Linked DNA regions of Canis lupus familiaris. The protein of the gene in region 1 interacts with the protein of each later gene in a pairwise test. Links are inferred from orthologs where the notes say so. Each region holds a gene or a part of one and is shown in the gene's direction. Other genes may lie near its edges.

What was found.
Region 2: the proteins of RHOA (region 1) and RIPOR2 interact in binary tests that used the Homo sapiens proteins (3 or more experiments, as listed by UniProt). The link is inferred for Canis lupus familiaris from reciprocal best matches to the Homo sapiens genes RHOA and RIPOR2.

What each region holds. Positions count from the first base shown.
Region 1 is NC_049241.1:40,230,122-40,234,556, forward strand, and holds the start of RHOA (transforming protein RhoA), read left to right. Parts: upstream 1-1,429; 5' UTR 1,430-1,598; intron 1,599-4,435. Other genes in the region: TCTA (T-cell leukemia translocation-altered gene protein), read right to left, coding at 401-503, 779-1,001. UniProt on the Homo sapiens protein: Small GTPase which cycles between an active GTP-bound and an inactive GDP-bound state.
Region 2 is NC_049256.1:24,261,990-24,265,801, reverse strand, and holds part of RIPOR2 (rho family-interacting cell polarization regulator 2), read left to right. Parts: intron 1-1,931; coding exon 1,932-2,609; intron 2,610-3,812. UniProt on the Homo sapiens protein: Acts as an inhibitor of the small GTPase RHOA and plays several roles in the regulation of myoblast and hair cell differentiation, lymphocyte T proliferation and neutrophil polarization.

The sequences.
Region 1 (4,435 bases):
AGTCCCATGTCAGGCTCCCTGCATGGAGCCTGCTTCTCCCTCTGCCTGTGTCTCTCATGAATAAATAAAACCTTAAAAAAAAAAAAAAGGACAAAGCCTCCTGCCTTTCTAAATTGAGGGGCTTGCAGTAGAGTTGAACTCAACAGACCTGCTACTTTATCTCTGAGATTTTGACAGTAGCACCACCAGCCCCACAGGTTGCTGAATAGCCTATCAATGGGCTGTTAAATTGGTATCATTCGAAGCCTGAGCTCCACTTGCAAGCCTTTGAGCTTGCTGCAAAGGCCACTAAACTGGTGGACTCCTGCCCTGAGAACTTCCTAGCCCTGTCCCTGTTCCCAGCATAGATGTGTCTTCTGCCTGCCAAGCATGGGGTTGACATGGGCACAGATTTACTTACCACGAAGTGAAATGCGTGGAGCCATCAGGTGTGGATCCGTTCTGGCCGCCCAGACCTGGGGGCAGGAACACATCCAGAGCTGCAGCAGGCTTGGGGTGGGAATCTGAGCAGGTATCAGCCCAGATCAAGTTAAAGGCCAGTGATGTTGTTTGATGGAGTCTTGTGGGGGCCTTAAAGGGACTAGTGGTATTGTCTGATGGAGGTTCAAGGGAGCGGTTAAAATGTGATGGGTGGTCCGGGATTTCTGGCATGAAATGGTATGTTGGCATGGGTCAGGGTAGAGCATAAAGTTGTGATGAGGTTCTTAGGAGACCAGTGGTAGTCTAGGGAGTTCTGGGGAGCCCAATGATGCAGTCCGGTGGGGATGGGGAGCCTCACCTGGGCGGTGATACAGCCCTGTTACCGTGCTCCCGTAGAACCCCCACGCCAGCTGGATGCCCAGGAGACTTATCACCAACCACAGTAGCAGCAGCTTGAAGAGGGTAACGCGCATGTCCTGCGCCTCCCACTCCCGCAGGAACTCGCTGCCCAGGGTGCCCAGTGTGCCCAGCACCAAGGTCGGCAGAGACTGCAAGGACTGCCCAGACCAAGGCTCCGCCATGACTGGCCCATGCCCCACCCGGGACTGTCACTATAGCACCCACTGCGCAGGCGTCTGGTCTTCCGGGCCAGGCCCGTTAATGCGCACGCGTAAACCAGGCAAGGCGAGTCTACTTCGCTTGCGCGAAGAGTTGGCAGTTTGGGGAGGAGTACTAAAACCGCGCACGCGCACCTAGCCCCACCCTGCTTACTTAAACGATGAGTGAGACGAGGAGCATAAAATAGCAACCAGGTCTTTTATAGCCCCGGAGTTCCCGTGATGCCCCACGCGGCTGCAGTGATTGGTTAAGCGCCCTGCTATTAGGGCGTGGACGCGCTCCTGAGCAATCGTGGCTGAGCTGTAAGTGTGCGCGCGTGCGCGGGGCCGCGGCTGGGGCCGGCTCGAGCCCGCTGGCACACGGGGGCGCGCACGTCGCTCCCCGCCCTCCCGCCGCCGACCGCCCTCGCTCGCGCTCCCCGCCCGCCGCCCGCCGTCCTCCGTCGGTTCTCTCGTTAGTTCGCCGTGGTCTTCTCAGCCACCCGCCCCAGTCTCCGAGCTTCCGACTCGCGGACAGGCGCACTCGGCGCAGAGAGGCCGGACTGCGAGTCGTCGCCTGAGGTGAGCCGAGAGGGTTCTCTCCTGGCGCCGCGGCGCCCCGGGCCCGCCCGCCGCTCTTCCGGCCTCCCGCCCGCCCGCCGCCCCGCCGCGGCCGCGCCCCACCTGCTGCTCTCAACCGGCTGCCCCTGGGCCCCGGCCCCAGCCTTCTGGCCGGGGCCCCGCTCCCCAAAGCGACGGCCCCGCCCGCGCAGTCCCCGGAAGCGCGCCCCGCGGCCTCCCGCGCCCCTTCCCCCGCCCGGCCAGGCCTGGTGGAGCCCAAGACGCCCGCCCGCGGTCCCTGGCTCTTCCTCTCTCACGGCCGTGCGGGGCAGGGCGGGGGCTTCGAGCTGGGCCCGGCGACCGCGCGGTGCAGCGGGTCCCTGCGAAGCGCGCGTGGCTGTCGGGAGTTGAAATGGGAAAGAAACTCTTTACAACTCCATCTTGGCTTTTGCATTGAATATGAAACATGAATCACCGTTTTATACGGTGTGAAGTCCAGATATGTTTTGGGTAGATTTTCTTTTTAAATGCAGTAGTTTCGGAGATTGTGTAAGTAAAGTAGTGTTGAAATCTTACGGGTTAGGATTCTTGGGTATTGAGAAGGGAATTTTCCAGTTGAAAACACTTTTTCATGATTTAAACTCTATTGCATTGAAATAGAGTATTAATTTGCAACTTTGCTTAGTCTAAGTTATTACCTTGATTGGAATCCCCTAAACATCTGTCTTTAGTTACCGATTGAACCCAGTTACAAGCTGTCTTTATTAAATAGCACTGTTTGCACTCAAATCGATTTGGTCAAGACAATGTGCAGTAGTTTATGGTGGAAAATTGGTATCCTTTTTTATCACAGTGTTTTCCACTTGTGTTTTTTTAATGGTCCTGATTTAAAGTTTTTACCAATATTGGTGATATGTTTCCTTCTTTTGGTGTTTGTCTTTGAAGTAAATGTTTTTTTATTCAGGTATGCATTTTATAGCCCTCCCTGCCAGATCTGAAGGGGAAAAATACTTAAAATTCTTTAAAATGTTATTTGTGGTGAGAATTTTTCAGTCATTTAATTTTTCAACCACTAAATGGTTGAAAATGGTACATATATGTACCATTGCAGGATTGTCACTTTAGACATGGCTAAATTGGTAGAGATACTGGTATGAGCGTTGGGCGTGACATTGTTTGGCCTGAAAGTACAAGACTAATTCTTAATTGTGAAGGAAAACTTAAAGATCTTTTGATAAATTGTTTTTTTGGTAGTTCCATCTACTTTTGTAGATGAGTGGTGGCCCTTGGGAAGCTAACAAAATAGAAGAAAACTCACTTTGAGTCAGAGTCTAGGCTTAGAGTTATGGCTTCTTTTCTCATAAAAAATTTGTACTGGAGGGAAGAAGAGAATAGAAATCCACTGACTTTTTCGTAGATCTAGAATTTTAGACCCAAAGGTATCTTCAGGACTTACGGTCTAACCCTATTTGCAGATGAGGAAACTGAGTCTCAGAGACTTACATAAATTTCCTAAGGTCATTTTTCTGGTCAGGTGCAGGCCAGAACTCTGAGGTATTCTTGTACTCTGAAACAGCTTGCTTAGAGTTAAGTAAAATTCAGGACTTATTTCCAGTATTTTCTTCTTTTACATATTACTGATTTTATATATGTTTTGAGAACCTGAAAAATTCATTTCTAAACAAACTCAGTTCTTTAGCTTTCACTGCGCTCTCCTCCCCGGAACTGGATGGTCCTACAGCAGTTGATTGAAATACATAAATGAATATACAGAGTCCCTGCTTGGCCTAGTTTTAGCTTTAGGTGTTTTGGGGGTTTTGTTCGCTTGTTTGTTTGTTTGTTTTTTTTAGAGATTTATTTAACCATTTGAGAGAGAGCACGAGCATGGGGAGGTTTTGAGGAAGAGAGAGAAACCCTAGCTGACTCCTCCCTGAGCTCGGAGGCCAACTTTGAGCCGAATCTCACAACCTGGAGATCATGATCTGAGCTGAAACCAAGAGTCTGATGCTCGACTGAGTGTACCACCCAGGGGTGTTTGGGTCTTCTTGAGGGAACAACTTCTTCCAATGTGAGGCCCAGACTCCCCTGCTCCAAAGCCCAACATAATTAGGTCAGACCAAGATGTTATAATGTGACTGAGGGCTCTTTTGCCTATTAATTTGAGGTGGGATGGTGAGAAACTGCACATATTAAGTAAATAGTTCTGTGTATGTGTGGCAGTAGTTTTATCGTATTCTCTTGTCCTGGTTGTTCTTAGAGGAGAGTGAAAACAGGTAGATATTGAGGTGGAATTCAAGCTGTGACAGGAGGAGGAGTTGCTACTTTGGGTTGTTTTAGTTCTAGAGCTGAGAGATTTATGTTAACTCTCAGAAGACAGACTGATACTTCAGCTTCTAAGAGAACGAATTTGGGCTTGCTGAGCTTCTCTAGACAACACTTTGGGTTTAATTGTATTTGGCTGCTAGTGATAATGATAAATGGTACATAATCACTGGATTTTAATCACATATATTTGTACTTTAAAAGGTACTTAAAAGTTATTTTACCTTCCTGTAGCACTTAGTTTTTAGTCTTTCATGTCCCTGGCTAGAGGAATTTTGTTTGCACCTACATATTAATGTAACTAAATTTTAAACATGTGTGTTAATGTGTCTTACTATACTGTGCTCTTTGGGGATATGCTCACTGTTAAGTACTTGTGAGATTAATAAATTAAAATTTCCAAGACAGTTTGAAGTTAATAATTACTGTAAAATTCCTATTTCAAGTGTTTCTATTTCAAATGACTCATTTTTGATCTGTGGTGCTATAGTATTATGTGAAGGCCCTGTATACTCATAATTATGGTAGTCATGTGA
Region 2 (3,812 bases), on another chromosome or scaffold:
TGCCTGCTTCTCCCTCTGCCTTGTCTCTGCCTCTCTCTCTGTCTCTATGAATAAACAAAAAAAAAAAAATGAGAACAGGATTAGAAAAAAACTCAGCAGCTTCCTCTAGCCTTTTGGGTACAGGCAGATTCCTCAGAGGGCTGTATCCATCTGGCCTCAGCCATACCTGCCGTTGGCCATTCTTTGTTCTCTGCTCCAGCCTCCCAAACTCCCCACCCCCCTCCAGCTGGACCACCCTCTTCAGGAGCTGCTCCTGTGCACACACTTTCCTTCTGGAAGGCTCTTCTACCTCCTCGCCTCTACCTCCCCATCCTGTGGGGTGGAGCTCCAGGACCACCTGTCTCCAGGCAGCACCATCCCTGTGCTGGGGACCTGCCTCATTATGTCATGCCTCAATCAGAAAAGACACATCCCCTTGTACTCTCGTGTGCCCATGGATGGGCTCGTCCCCTCATGGCACACCTCAAGTTCCCATTCTTGAATAGAGCATCCCAGCTTCATCTAACTCAATGTTGGCCACTCCCATAGCTGCCAGTCAGGTTTGGGAACATGGGATCAAGAGAAATGGCTGGCAAGGACTTTGAAATTTGAATAAGAACCCTGACTTAAGCAGACTGCCTGCTTAGGATGTGTGGTTTGGAGATGAGATGAGATAGGGCAGGACCACCTGGAGGACCCAGGACTTCTGTGAGATGCCTGAGGGACCCCCTGGGAAGAAGCCCAGGGAGTAGCCCAACCTATTGCTACCACAAGGCCCCTCTTTGCCCTCCATATAGTTAAAATAGGCATTTGCTCAGTACTTACATTTACTTAAAATATCAAATCTGGAACCGAAGAGAAATTATCCATTTCAAAGGAGTTGATCTCAAATACTAGAACACTTTTTCCATGGAGCCACATTTGGCACGGAGATACCACCTAGACCACAGCATAGGAAGAGATGACCTAGACATCATTTTAATGCCTGCACAAATAAATTATCTTGATTACCTGGATATTTGTAACCTCTCTCCCTTCTGCGTTCTGCTTCATGAATCACAGAGTGTGCTTGACCCAGCCTGGGTCAGCTTGAAAAGACAACTTGGTGTTTCCAGACACCCTGAGAGTTCTGGCTCTGCAATCCTGGGAGATGTTCAGGTTTATTCATCTTTTTTCTTCCATTTTTACAGAAGCTGTGCGAGTATATTTCTGGCCTTTGGTTATTTGTGGCATGGTTACTAAATTAATAGAACATTTTCAAGGGCTTGGGATTTGTGGATAGAGATTCTTTTAAAATAACTTATGAGAAGTGAAGCAGAACAAAGCATCACATCTTTTGAGTGAACTAGCATGAACATTGGAAAGTCTTTTAAGATAAATGCCAAAAAAAAAAAAAAATTGGTAGTGTTATTCAGAACTATGGCTGCCAAATACTGTGAGATCCTGGATTTTAGGAAACAGGCTCTGTTCCCATACTCCCCCAATCTTTTCTTTTGAAAAATATCAAACCTAATAATAGTATAATGAACTTTCACCTAGATGCAGCACCAGAAATAGTTTGTAAGGGCTTGTTTTCTTTTGCCACACATGCAACCGCACACACATATGCACACACAAAATCAACAAATAAAAAGTTAATATTATGAAAGTGCTGGTTGTTTCTTTTAATGGCTTGGCATCTTGTCTGGAAATAAACCACACCAAACATATCATTTGTTGTTGTTGTTTAAGATTTTATTTATTTATTCATGAGAGACACAGAGAGAGAGGCAGAGACAAAGGCAGAGAGAGAAGCAGGCTTCCTGCGTGGAGCCTGATGCAGAACTCAATCCCAGGCCCCCGGGATCATGACCTGAGCCAAAGGCAGACGCTCAACAACTGAGCCACCCAGGTGCCCTTACCAAACACATCATTTGTATTTAAAATAATAACGAGTTGCCTTTTATCCGCAGTCTAATCTACCTGATGACGTCTTTGAACATGGAAAGGCAGCTGAGGAGAAGACACCCCTGTGTCTCAGCTTCAGTGACCTACCCAACGGGGACTGTGCCCTCACCCCTGACCCAGCTGGCTCTCTGGCCAACACATGCTCCACAAATCCAGAAATTACCATCACCCCTGCAGAGCTGAACCACAGCAGCCTCTGCTCCCCGAATGAGGGCACGGATGACTCTAGCTCAGCATCTTCCAGGAACTCCTCCAGAGAAGGCCGAGAGTCACAGCCCCACCCGGAGGAGGACACTGATGGGCCTGGGAACCCTGAGACGCGCCGAGCGTCTGCCGGTGCTGCCACCAAGCACCTGTTCCTGGAGAAGGATGTGGCCGAGGCGCTCCTGCAGGAGTCTGATGAGGCCTCTGAGCTCAAGCCTGTGGAACTGGACACTTTCGAAGGAAACATCACAAAGCAGCTGGTCAAGAGGCTCACCACGGCGGAGGTGCCAGTGGCCACGGAGAGGCAGCTCTTTGAGGGCTCTGTCAGTGGAGAATCCGAAGGCTGTAGATCCTTCCTAGATGGAAGCTTAGAGGATGCATTTAGTGGGCTTTTCCTTGCATTAGAGCCACATAAAGAGCAGTACAAAGTGTTTCAGGATCTGAACCAAGAAATCATGCATTTGGATGATATTCTAAAAGTAAGTACCGTTTTAGGGAAATCAGATTAGGTTTGAAGAGAGGTATCCAAAGCCAACATTCTATTTAAAATAGTTGTATCTTTTTGTTTTCCCCCATCTCCACACAGAACCAGTAACCAATCATCATTTGAGTGGCCCTGACTTTTAAACACCAGGAGTGCATGTTCACCTATATTTCCCTAACAACAGATCGATGCAACTATGATGATCAGGAGTTAAATTAGCAGCCCTGAGGAATGTCTGGGCTCCTTCAGCCCCAGAGTTAGTCTTTGTAATCCCAAATGTGAAAGGGAGGTACTTTGAGGATCACAATCTCATGGAGATGCTACTGGATAGAGTCCCTTCCTGACTGAAGTCAAGAGTTAGGCAACCCCTGATGTGGGAGCCATAGGCCCATCTCCCCACCCCCACCCCTGCACCCCTGCACTCCTGTCCCCACCTGTGGTGCTGCCTCCAGAGATTCCCTTCTCTGGTCTAGTCTCAACCAGGGAGTTGGAACCTGAGATTAATCACTCATACATCATCATCTGTATTCTAGAAGCCAGGGACCCCCAGTTCCACCAGAGTTAGCCTCCTCAACCCTGTTCCTGATCAGACTTGGTGGGAGGGGAGAGCAAAAGGGATGATTTCCTCTCAGGTGGGAAGTCCTAATCCTGAGGTTATTATTGCTACACTGGAACGTATATGCTGCCACTGGGCATGCAAATTAAACTTTTTCAAAGGCTGCACAAGAAGACAGAACCTGAATTTTGTCCTGAATTCCACTGCCATCACTTCTTGTGTTCTTGGCTTGGCCACTCTGATATTGCCATACAGAAGATAAATTGGGTCTTTTTCCATGAAAGAGCAATTCTTTGGTGACCTGTCCTGTCATGCAGGTTTGAAAATAAGGTGCTAGTAGTGAGCTAGGATTCAACCTGCAGAAGGCTATTTCACCACCTTGAATGGCTGTTTATAAAATGGGGTCTTCTCAGGGGCATTGGAAGGACATTTCCAAGGCTTTTCTATCTTATCCTTCTCAGTGGTACGCACCTAACCCCTAGGGATATCTGTCCCCAAGGCAGCTGAGGCCAGCAAAGCCCCAACTCTCCAGGTCCTCCAGTGCTCAGCACAGACTAATTCAGCTGTAGGTACCACCTGCCTCTGAGTAGCAGGTGGGAGTGCTCTGAATCTGAAAGCACCAGTTCAGGACTCCTTCATGAA